3 linked regions of the Stegostoma tigrinum genome follow. Each later gene encodes a partner of the first gene's protein in a complex. Links are inferred from orthologs where the notes say so. Each region holds a gene or a part of one and is shown on either strand. Other genes may lie near its edges. The genes, in order: ORM1-like protein 3, sptlc1 and sptssa.

Region 1 (3,745 bases):
CCCTCCCCCCACCCCCCCCACCATCATCCCTCCTCCCTCCCCCCACCCCCCCCACCATCATCCCTCCTCCCTCCCCCACCCCCCCCACCATCATCCCTCCTCCTCCCCCACCCCCCCACCATCATCCTCCTCCCTCCCCCCACCCCCCCACCATCATCCCTCCTCCCTCCCCCCACCCCCCCCACCATCATCCCTCCTCCCTCCCCCCACCCCCCCACCATCATCCCTCCCCCCACCCCCCACCCCCCCCACCATCATCCCTCCCCCCACCCCCCACCATCATCCCTCCCCCCACCCCCCCACCATCATCCCTTCCCCCCCACCATCATCCCTTCCCCTTCCCCCCTCCATCATCCCTCCCCCCCTCCCCCTCACCATCATCCCTCCTCCCTCCCCCCCACCCCCCCCACCATCATCCCTCCTCCCTCCCCCCCACCCCCCCCACCATCATCCCTCCCCCCTCCCCCCCACCATCATCATCCCTCCCCCCCTCCATCATCATCCCTCCCCCCCTCCCCCCCACCATCATCATCCCTCCCCCCCTCCCCCCACCATCATCCCCTCCCCCTTCCCCCCCACCATCATCCCTCCTCCCTCCCCCCTTCCCCCCCACCATCATCCCTCCTCCCTCCCCCCTTCCCCCCCACCATCATCCCTCCTCCCTCCCCCCCCACCATCCCTCCTCCCTCCCCCCCCACCATCATCCCTCCTCCCTCCCCCCCCACCATCATCCCTCCTCCCTCCCCCCACACCATCATCCCTCCTCCCTCCCCCCACCCCCCCCACCATCATCCCTCCTCCCTCCCCCCCACCATCATCCCTTCCCCCCACCCCCCCACCATCATCCCTTCCCCCACCCCCCACCACCATCATCCCTTCCCCCTTCCCCCCCACCATCATCCCTCCCCCCACCCCCCACCATCATCCCTCCCCCACCCCCCACCATCATCCCTCCCCCCACCCCCCCACCATCATCCCTCCCCCCACCCCCCCCACCATCATCCTTCCCCCTTCCCCCCCACCATCATCCCTTCCCCCCCACCATCATCCCTTCCCCCTTCCCCCCTCCCCCCCACCATCATCCTTCCCCCTTCCCCCCCACCATCATCCCTCCCCCCCACCATCATCCCTCCTCCCTCCCCCCCACCATCATCCCTCCTCCCTCCCCCCACCCCCCCCACCATCATCCCTTCCCCCTTCCCCCCCACCCCCCCCACCATCATCCCTCCCCCACCCCCCCACCATCATCCCTCCCCCCACCCCCCCACCATCATCCCACCCCCCCCACCATCATCCCTTCCCCCTTCCCCCCCACCATCATCCCTTCCCCCTTCCCCCTACCATCATCCCTCCCCCCCTCCCCCCCACCATCATCCCTTCCCCCTTCCCCCCTCCCCCCACCATCATCCCTCCCCCCCTCCCCCCCACCATCATCCCTCCTCCCTCCCCCCCACCATCATCCCTCCCCCCTCCCCCCACCATCATCCCTCCCCCCTCCCCCCCACCATCATCCCTCCCCCCTCCCCCCACCATCATCCCTTCCCCCCCACCATCATCCCTTCCCCCTTCCCCCCACCATCATCCCTTCCCCCTTCCCCCCCCACCATCATCCCTTCCCCCTTCCCCCCCACCATCATCCCTTCCCCCTTCCCCCCCACCATCATCCCTTCCCCCTTCCCCCCTCCCCCCACCATCATCCCTTCCCCCTTCCCCCCACCATCATCCCTTCCCCCTCCCCCCCACCATCATCCCTTCCCCCTTCCCCCCTCCCCCCCACCATCATCCCTCCCCCCCACCATCATCCCTCCCCCCTCCCCCCCACCATCATCCCTCCCCCCCACCCCCCACCATCATCCCTCCCCCTCCCCCCCCACCCCCCCACCATCATCCCTCCCCCCTCCCCCCCACCCCCCCACCATCATCCCTCCCCCCTCCCCCCCACCATCATCCCTCCCCCCTCCCCCCCACCCCCCCCACCATCATCCCTCCCCCCCACCATCATCCCTCCTCCCTCCCCCCTCCCCCCCACCATCATCCCTCCCCCCTCCCCCCCACCCCCCCCACCATCATCCCTCCCCCCTCCCCCCCACCCCCCCCACCATCATCCCTCCCCCCCACCATCATCCCTCCTCCCTCCCCCCACCCCCCCCAACCATCATCCCTCCCTCCCCCCACCCCCCCCACCATCATCCCTCCCCCCCACCATCATCCCTCCTCCCTCCCCCCACCCCCCCCACCATCATCCCTCCCCCCCACCATCATCCCTCCTCCCTCCCCCCCACCCCCCCCACCATCATCCTCCCCCCCACCCCCCCCACCATCATCCCTCCCCCCCACCCCCCCCACCATCATCCCTCCCCCCCACCATCATCCCTCCTCCCTCCCCCCCACCCCCATCCCTCCCCCCCACCCCCCCACCATCATCCCTCCCCCCCACCCCCCCCACCATCATCCCTCCCCCCCACCCCCCCACCATCATCCCTTCCCCCCTCCCCCCACCATCATCCCTCCTCCCTCCCCCCCACCCCCCCCACCATCATCCCTCCCCCCCACCCCCCCCACCATCATCCCTCCCCCCCCACCATCATCCCTCCCCCCACCATCATCCCTTCCCCCCTCCCCCCACCATCATCCCTCCCCCCACCACCATCCCTCCTCCATCCCCCCCACCACCATCCCTCCTCCATCCATTCCCCACCCCCTCCATCCTCCCCTTCTCCACCCCCCAGGCTCTGAGCAGCTGCGGGGCTCAGCTCGTCCTTTGCCTTACCTGGGGAGAGCGATTTTATATTGTCTTGAGAGGGTAGCCCGGAGCCGGGGCCTGAGCTCCTTCCCGCAGCCGCCGGTCCGACCTCCGGCAGCCAGCTCCCCACTGAACTTCCCTCGACCTTCCGCTCCACTCCGGCCCGCCCCCAGCTCTCTGTGACGTCTGCACCCCGGGGCGTCACCGCCAGCGCCACTCAGCCAACTCATACCGCCACCCGCTGGCGGGAGGTCGCCAGGTCAGGACATCGCTAACTCACTGCCACCCGCTGGCGGGAGGTCGCTAGCTCAGGACATTGCCAGTTCATACCGCCAGCCGCTGGCTGGACATCGCCAGCTCAGGACATCACCACCAGCTGGCGGGAGGTCGGCAGCTCAGGTCATCGCCAGCTAATACCGCCACCTGCTGGCGGGATGCGATCTGTATTGAGATTGAAGTTTGCATTGATTTATTAGGTGTAGTGTGGGGATAAAAGTCTCCAGTGTACATAGCTGGGGAGATCAAGGGAACTTGTTAGTCCCAGCAATTGGGAGTTTAAAGAAATTTATAATACAGAAGACACCAACATTGATGGTTCAGGAGTTTTCAATGGAGACACAGATGGTAATATTTGGAGAAATAGTGTCACTGCCGTGTGCAGCACGGCCAGACCTTTCACACACCCCTCCACTCCAGATTCATTTGACAGGAGATGCGTTTCTTGATTGTTCAAACATCTGAATCAGGGGCCTGGGTAGACCACTCAGCCCCCTAAGCCTGCTCTGCCATTCAATAAGACAATCGCCGATCTGAGCATGGCCTCAACATCACATTCTCTCCAATCCCCACCACCTCCCCCGACCACTCCCTGGTAGCTTTTGAGTCCACATTGTGGGATGGAGCGTGCTGTCTGGGTGTATTTGGGGGTAGTCCCTCAACATTTAAGTTGCAGGCTGTAAATTGTGGGTCCAATGGTGTGGGAGCCATAGTGTCAGGTTTGCT
Region 2 (3,745 bases), on another chromosome or scaffold:
ATGGCACTTCTTGAGAAAGAATCTAGAACTGGGGGCCATTTTAAAAATTAAGTCAACCATTTAAGACACTGATAAGACTATTCCTTACACGGTCTTTCTTTGGGACTTTCTTCCTCAAAGAGAAGTGAAAGCAAAGGTTTTGAATGTCTTTAAAGACAGAGACAGATTCTTGATAAGCAAGGGGTTAAAAATGTTTTCCGTAAATAGGAGCATCATACTTTTGGATTAGGTATGATCTTACTGAACTGAGGTAAGCACAAGGGGCTGTGTGTTCTAAATATGCATATTTTTATGCAATTAAGATGAGAGGAGGACAAGAAAGGTTAGTAATGGAGTTAATTAAAATATTGCCCTTGCTCTTTCAAAAGAAAAACATTTTCCAGATTGTAGATTGCAGCAATCTACAAAGTTACTTAATTCGCATGTATAAAAACTAATCAGACACTCTACTCACTTTCCCTGTTCTGAAATCATTACCGAGGTGGTCATTGTTTTCCGCTAAAAGTAAATAAATTACTCAGTTGAGGATAATTTTATTGCAATACCCAATCTTGTGAACATGTCAACAATCATCACAGGCTCCCTGAATCTCCTAACAGACAGTATTGTGGGAGTACCACAGTACTCTCATGTTCAGTACTCACACAGTACCTACCCACCACAAATGTTCTGTGATAATGGGAACTGCAGATGCTGGAGAATCCAAGATAACAAAAAGTGTGGAGCTGGAGGAACACAGCAGGCCAAGCAGCATCAGATGAGCTGTGTTCATCCAGCTCCACATTTTGTTATCACCACAAATGTTCTGCTTGTTCATAAAAGCAGCTCTGGTTACTTTCCAAGAGCAAATATACATCAGGACATTTGGGGAAAAAATGGTTTTGTCAGTGAGGCCTGCATTTCAAGTTAATTTTTAATGAAACTTGAGTCAAAGCTTATTTTTATTGCTCACGCAATAGCATGCCTAGATTTGAATGTGTAATGGGTGGCACAGTGCCTCAGTAGTTAGCACTGTTGCCTCACAGTGCCAGAGGCCCAGATTCAAGTGTACCCTCGGACGACTGTGTGGAGTTCGCACATTCTCCCTGAGGTCTGCGTGGGTTTTGTCCGGATGCGCCGGTTTCCTCCCACAGTCCAAAGACGTGCATGCTAACATGCCCGTAGTATTTAGGGATGTGTAGATTAGGTGGATTATAGACTGGGTCAGATGCTCCGAGGATCAGCATGGACTTGTTGGGCCTGTTTCCACACTGTAGGGATTCTACTCTATTCTGATATAGTATGTATATTATCATAGCCAAACCCAGTCCCACCACTACTGCATTGTAATAAGCAAAAGAGGCCAATTGTAGCCTTAAATATTCAATATCATTGGTGATGTTGTCCAGGACAAAGCATTAATTGCTGCTACTCAACATAGGAATAGAACTAAATCTTTTTAACAACACTGCCCAATAAAAACGTGCTAATCTCAATTTCAAATTACTTCATTTATGATCTTTACATAAGAAATTCCACTATCATTAGTCTAGCTTATATGCGACTGTCACTTTTTAAACTATAGTGATCAACTGACCTCGGAAACTCACTTGTATCAAACTGCTGCAGAAAACAGACCTGGAAATGCATCTGCACCACATTACTTGCAGTCAAAAAGATTGCTCATCTCATCTTCTTTAGAGCAAGTTGAGATGGGCAATAAATGCTGGCCTTGCACAAGATACCCACAATTCAAAAATAAGTCTGAACAGCTAATCTTCAAAAAAAGTGAAAAGGTTTTCTACAACCCTTAACATGAAAATATATTTTGAGCATCAGCTAACCAAATTATCTAGTACAAATTTTAACCTATTGAATACTTAACACATCAGGTTTATAAATATTAAGCAATTTATGTTTAGAAGTGTTAAATCAAAGAACTCGTGATTCATTTATTGTTGGCAAACCAACAATAAATTGTCCTTCTAAAAGTGATCTAAAATGATGACAATTACAAGTCACTTTTTAGAAAGAACTGGAAGCGCTTCAAAGGCCTTATTAAAAATCATAATCAAGAGCAAAATCCATTTGTATCTCGACCAGCCATAAAGGCTAAATTGGGCAAGGTCAAATTTCCTCCTACAGGCTTTCAACCTGATTGGTTTCGAGGATAAAAAGGTTGCTTACTGCCTCCTTCTTCAGAGCAATTTGAAATGGGTAATAAATGGGTCACCATGGACATTATCAAATGCAATTTCGAATCATTTTAATTTCAATTCTCAGCCTTGGCTAGAACCTCTTTCAGTTCCACTTGACTAGACTGAGAAATCTAACTTTGAAACAATTCACCCACAAATCCTTCCTAATTCACGTTCCAACATAAGTAGTCACTCTGGACATAACGAGGCATAACTGGAAAACCGGGTTCGTTCAACTATCAATAAAATTCAGCACATTTCCAAAACTTCCTTTTGGCAATATTAGCTCAATATAAAACCAGTTCACAATACCCTCCAGCTTTTCATCTCTGAGATGTATTACGAACTACGTGTTCTCCACAGTCTGTGAAACTTTCACAATTATTTTACGGAACAGTTCTCTTACCTCATAAAAAGCCTGAACCATTTCCACTAGAACCCACTGCTGCCCGATCGCCATCTTGTTACCAAATAACAGCTGACTGCATGAAAAATGGAATAATCAGAAACATACGCATGCGCACTTACGCAAGCCAGTTCAAGAAGGCGGCTGCCATCGTTGATATGGTCACCAACTCCAATCACGTGGTGCTCACCAATAATCAGCTGATTCCGGGAACACATTTAATTAAGGAATGACAAAGTGTGGAGCTGGATGAATATAGCATGCCAAGCAGCATCTTAGGAGCACAAAAGCTGACATTTCGGGCCGAAACCCTTCATCAGAAAAGTTCTAGGGCTGAAACGTCAGCTTTTGTGCTCCTAAGATGCTGCTTGGCCTGCTGTGTTCATCCAGCTCCACACGTTGTTATCTTGGATTCTTCAGCATCTGCAGTTCCCATTATCTCTGATCACAAATTTACTTAGCACTGCTGTCTTTGTCAAACAATTTAAAAAACTGAACAAAAATTGTGTAATAAAGGCAAACTACAGCAGCTGCTGGAAATCTAAAATAAATTAGATGTTCCTTTGGAGAAAGTGAAGTGACCAGCCAGGCATTTGCTTTTGTTCTAAAAGATACAACCTCCTCCAATTAATCACAGCTCTTGCAGATGTTTAAATAACCGTCACTCACGTCATGATCCTTTAAAAACACCACTTACAGTTTGAGACAGCCAATAAATGAGCCACAGTCAAATGAGCCGGTGAGCCTTATGTCTGTTAGAACATAGAACATAGAACATTGAACAGTACAGCACAGAACAGGCCCTTCAGCCCACAATGTTGTGCCGACCATTGATCCTCATGTATGCACCCTCAAATTTCTGTGACCATATACATGTCCAGCAGTCTCTTAAATGACCCCAATGACCTTGCTTCCACAACTGCTGCTGGCAACGCATTCCATGCTCTCACAACTCTCTGCGTAAAGAACCTGCCTCTGACATCCCCTCTATACTTTCCACCAACCAGCTTAAAACTATGACCCCTCGTGCTAGCCATTTCTGCCCTGGGAAATAGTCTCTGGCTATCAACTCTATCTATGCCTCTCATTATCTTGTATACCTCAATTAGGTCCCCTCCTCCTCCTTTTCTCCAATGAAAAGAGACCGAGCTCAGTCAACCTC
Region 3 (3,745 bases), on another chromosome or scaffold:
GATCATTTTAACTCCTAAAAAGGCTCAAAAAGAAACTGAAGGAGCAGCACCTCATATTCTGCCTTGGGACCCTGCGACTCAATGATCTCCATGTGGCCATCACCAGTTTCAAAATCTCCCCACACCCAGCCTCTTCCCATGACCAACTCTCCCTCTCATCCCCACCTTAACCTGACACAACATGTCCATCTTCTCTTCCACCACTGCCTCACCTGCACTCACCTATCACCATCCCACTTATATTTCTCTATTTATTTCAGAGCTCTCTTTGATCTCCCCCATTTCTGAAGAAGGGTCCTGACCCGAAACATCAACTTTCCTGCTCCTTTGATGCTGCTTGGCCTGCTGTGCTCCTCCAGTTCCACACTGTGTTATCTCAAAAAGAAACTGGGTGGACCACATGGCATTGCCTGAGACATTAAAAAAGACAATGGCAAACTCAGCCCTCTCGCCTCTAAAAATCTTCCCCACCAATATCTGGGACCTAGTGCAAAAATTGGGAGAGTTGTCTCAGAACAGTCAAGCAACAGCCTGATATAGTCATACTAAGGGAATTATACCTTACATACAATATCCAAGAAAAAAAAACAGCATCACATTCCTGGGTATGTCCTGTCCTACCTAGTATAAACCTAGGAAAGGGGGTGGCACAGTGGTATATACCCAGGAGGAAGTCAGCCTGGGAGTCAACATTAACTGTGGCTACTGAGAAGTCTCATGGGATCAGATCAAACATGAGCATGTAAAACCCCTGCCCAATTACTACATACTGTCCTCCATTAGCTGATCAATCAACACTCTTCCAAGTGTTGTTCAATATGAAAGAAGCGATGAATTTGGCAAGGGTGTAGAAGGTACTCTGGATGGGTGATTTTAATGTCCATCACCAAGATTGGCTCAGCAGCACCATGACTGATCAAGTTGATTGAGTTTTAAAGATCGTAGTTGCTGGACTGGGTCTGTGGCAGATGGTGAGGGGTAACCATGCGTGACTTCATTCCCATCAATCTGCTGGCAGGAGATGAGTAACCTCTGCACAGTCCTTGTGGAGACGAAGTCCTACCTTCATATTGATGGTGCCTCCATCTATCACTTATTACCGCAACTATCACATGGACATACTATCACCGTGCTTTTTCTGATGAAGGAGCTAGGCCCGAAACGTCAGCTTTTGCGCTCCTCAGATGCTGCTTGGCCTGCTGTGTTCATCCAGCTTCGCACTTTGTTATCTTGGATTCGCCAGCATCTGCAGTTCCCATTACCACAGATCACCATCACACGCAGCTCAACTTTTACGTGGTGCTGCACCGGCTCTAACTGCAAGTATTCCTCCGGAGCGGAGGTGGCGCTGCCAGTGGTGGTGCACGGTGGAATAGGGCGGCTCCGGCTCCGCCGCTGTCGACGAGAAGGGGGTTGGCAACAGGACGGGGTCCTGGATAATTAATGTCCGGTAGGTTGGCTCCTGCTTGGCGGTTGGTGGTGACTCTGCAACGGGCTCCGGGGGCCCGGGTGAGAAGGTGGCGGCGTTTCCGGGCCGTGCCGTTTTCTTGGGCCCAGTGCGGGAGAACACAGGGATTTCCCCCTCCCCACCCCCACACCACCCCTTTGTCCCTCTCCCCCAGACACTGCCCGCACCCCCCGACACTGCTTTCCCTCCCCTCCCCCCCAACTCCCCCCGCACACACCCCTCCCCCAGACACTGCTCCCCCCACGCACCCCCTCCCCCAGACACTGCTTCCCCACCCCCGCACTCCCTCACCGCCTCCTCCAGACACTACTTTCCCCCGCAACCACCCCCCACCCCCAGTCACTACTTCCCTCCCCGCACGCTCTCCCAGATACTGCTCCCCCCGTTCCCCCCCCCCCAGACACTGACACTCTCACCCCCTGCACCCATCTCTCCCGCCCCCCCCCCAGATACTGACGCTCTCACCCCCCACACCCTTCCCCCTCCTGACACTGACCCCCACCCCCAGGCACTGCTCCCCCCCCCGCCCCCAGTGCCCCCAGGCACTGCTTTCCCCCCCAGTGCCCCCAGGCACTGCTTTCCCCCCCAGTGCCCCCAGGCACTGCTTTCCCCCCCCAGTGCCCCCAGGCACTGCTTTCCCCCCCCAGTGCCCCCAGGCACTGCTTTCCCCCCCCAGTGCCCCCAGGCACTGCTTCCCCCCCCAGTGCCCCCAGGCACTGCTTCCCCCCCCAGTGCCCCCAGGCACTGCTTCCCCCCCCAGTGCCCCCAGGCACTGCTTCCCCCCCCAGTGCCCCCAGGCACTGCTTCCCCCCCCAGTGCCCCCAGGCACTGCTTCCCCCCCCAGTGCCCCCAGGCACTGCTTCCCCCCCCAGTGCCCCCAGGCACTGCTTCCCCCCCCAGTGCCCCCAGGCACTGCTTCCCCCCCCAGTGCCCCCAGGCACTGCTTCCCCCCCCAGTGCCCCCAGGCACTGCTTCCCCCCCCAGTGCCCCCAGGCACTGCTTCCCCCCCCAGTGCCCCCAGGCACTGCTTCCCCCCCCAGTGCCCCCAGGCACTGCTTTCCCCCCCAGTGCCCCCAGGCACTGCTTTCCCCCCCAGTGCCCCCAGGCACTGCTTCCCCCCCAGTGCCCCCAGGCACTGCTTTCCCCCCCAGTGCCCCCAGGCACTGCTTTCCCCCCCAGTGCCCCCAGGCACTGCTTTCCCCCCCAGTGCCCCCAGGCACTGCTTTCCCCCCCAGTGCCCCCAGGCACTGCTTTCCCCCCCCGTGCCCCCAGGCACTGCTTTCCCCCCCCGTGCCCCCAGGCACTGCTTTCCCCCCCCGTGCCCCCAGGCACTGCTTTCCCCCCCCGTGCCCCCAGGCACTGCTTTCCCCCCCAGTGCCCCCAGGCACTGCTTTCCCCCCCAGTGCCCCCAGGCACTGCTTTCCCCCCCAGTGCCCCCAGGCACTGCTTTCCCCCCCAGTGCCCCCAGGCACTGCTTTCCCCCCCAGTGCCCCCAGGCACTGCTTTCCCCCCCAGTGCCCCCAGGCACTGCTTTCCCCCCCAGTGCCCCCAGGCACTGCTTTCCCCCCCAGTGCCCCCAGGCACTGCTTTCCCCCCCAGTGCCCCCAGGCACTGCTTTCCCCCCCAGTGCCCCCAGGCACTGCTTTCCCCCCCAGTGCCCCCAGGCACTGCTTTCCCCCCCAGTGCCCCCAGGCACTGCTTTCCCCCCCAGTGCCCCCAGGCACTGCTTTCCCCCCCAGTGCCCCCAGGCACTGCTTTCCCCCCCAGTGCCCCCAGGCACTGCTTTCCCCCCCAGTGCCCCCAGGCACTGCTTTCCCCCCCCAGTGCCCCCAGGCACTGCTTTCCCCCCCAGTGCCCCCAGGCACTGCTTTCCCCCCCCAGTGCCCCCAGGCACTGCTTCCCCCCCCAGTGCCCCCAGGGCCCCGCTTTCCCCCCCCCCCCAGTGCCCCGCTTTCCCCCCCCCGCCCCCAGTGCCCCGCTTTCCCCCCCCCCGCCCCCAGTGCCCCGCTTTCCCCCCCCCCGCCCCCAGTGCCCCGCTTTCCCCCCCCGCCCCCAGTGCCCCGCTTTCCCCCCCCCGCCCCCAGTGCCCCGCTTTCCCCCCCCGCCCCCAGTGCCCCGCTTTCCCCCCCCCGCCCCCAGTGCCCCGCTTTCCCCCCCCGCCCCCAGTGCCCCGCTTTCCCCCCCCCGCCCCCAGTGCCCCGCTTTCCCCCCCCGCCCCCAGTGCCCCGCTTTCCCCCCCCGCCCCCAGTGCCCCGCTTTCCCCCCCCGCCCCCAGTG

What was found.
Region 2: the proteins of ORM1-like protein 3 (region 1) and sptlc1 are in contact, whole or in part, in a cryo-EM structure (PDB 7K0N), measured with the Homo sapiens proteins. The link is inferred for Stegostoma tigrinum from reciprocal best matches to the Homo sapiens genes ORMDL3 and SPTLC1. Residues at the interface, in NP_001307730.1 of Homo sapiens: Gly92, Val93, Gln94, Phe95, Thr96, Ala97, Lys100, Thr103, Ile104, Ile107, Tyr110, Phe111, Ser114, Tyr119, Gln121, Phe124, Thr128, Leu131, Met132, Leu139, Pro140, His143; in NP_006406.1 of Homo sapiens: Ala16, Leu17, Ala20, Pro21, Tyr23, His24, Leu27, Glu28, Leu31, Ile32, Trp34, Ile35, Leu38, Leu39, Ser41, Lys42, Thr43, Tyr44, Lys45, Leu46, Gln47.
Region 3: the proteins of ORM1-like protein 3 (region 1) and sptssa are in contact, whole or in part, in a cryo-EM structure (PDB 7CQI), measured with the Homo sapiens proteins. The link is inferred for Stegostoma tigrinum from reciprocal best matches to the Homo sapiens genes ORMDL3 and SPTSSA. Residues at the interface, in NP_001307730.1 of Homo sapiens: Val36, Leu38, Ser39, Ile40, Pro41, Phe42, Ser44; in NP_612145.2 of Homo sapiens: Ile44, Tyr50, Thr51, Val54, Phe55.

Annotation. Positions count from the first base shown.
Region 1 is NC_081384.1:12,493,415-12,497,159, reverse strand, and holds the start of ORM1-like protein 3, read right to left. Parts: upstream 2,912-3,745; 5' UTR 2,771-2,911; intron 1-2,770. UniProt on the Homo sapiens protein: Plays an essential role in the homeostatic regulation of sphingolipid de novo biosynthesis by modulating the activity of the serine palmitoyltransferase (SPT) in response to ceramide levels.
Region 2 is NC_081356.1:51,370,964-51,374,708, reverse strand, and holds the start of sptlc1 (serine palmitoyltransferase 1), read right to left. Parts: upstream 2,657-3,745; 5' UTR 2,638-2,656; coding exon 2,584-2,637; intron 1-2,583. UniProt on the Homo sapiens protein: Component of the serine palmitoyltransferase multisubunit enzyme (SPT) that catalyzes the initial and rate-limiting step in sphingolipid biosynthesis by condensing L-serine and activated acyl-CoA (most commonly palmitoyl-CoA) to form long-chain bases.
Region 3 is NC_081363.1:58,726,977-58,730,721, forward strand, and holds the start of sptssa (serine palmitoyltransferase small subunit A), read left to right. Parts: upstream 1-1,324; 5' UTR 1,325-1,450; intron 1,451-1,471; exon of another isoform or gene 1,472-1,509; intron 1,510-3,745. UniProt on the Homo sapiens protein: Component of the serine palmitoyltransferase multisubunit enzyme (SPT) that catalyzes the initial and rate-limiting step in sphingolipid biosynthesis by condensing L-serine and activated acyl-CoA (most commonly palmitoyl-CoA) to form long-chain bases.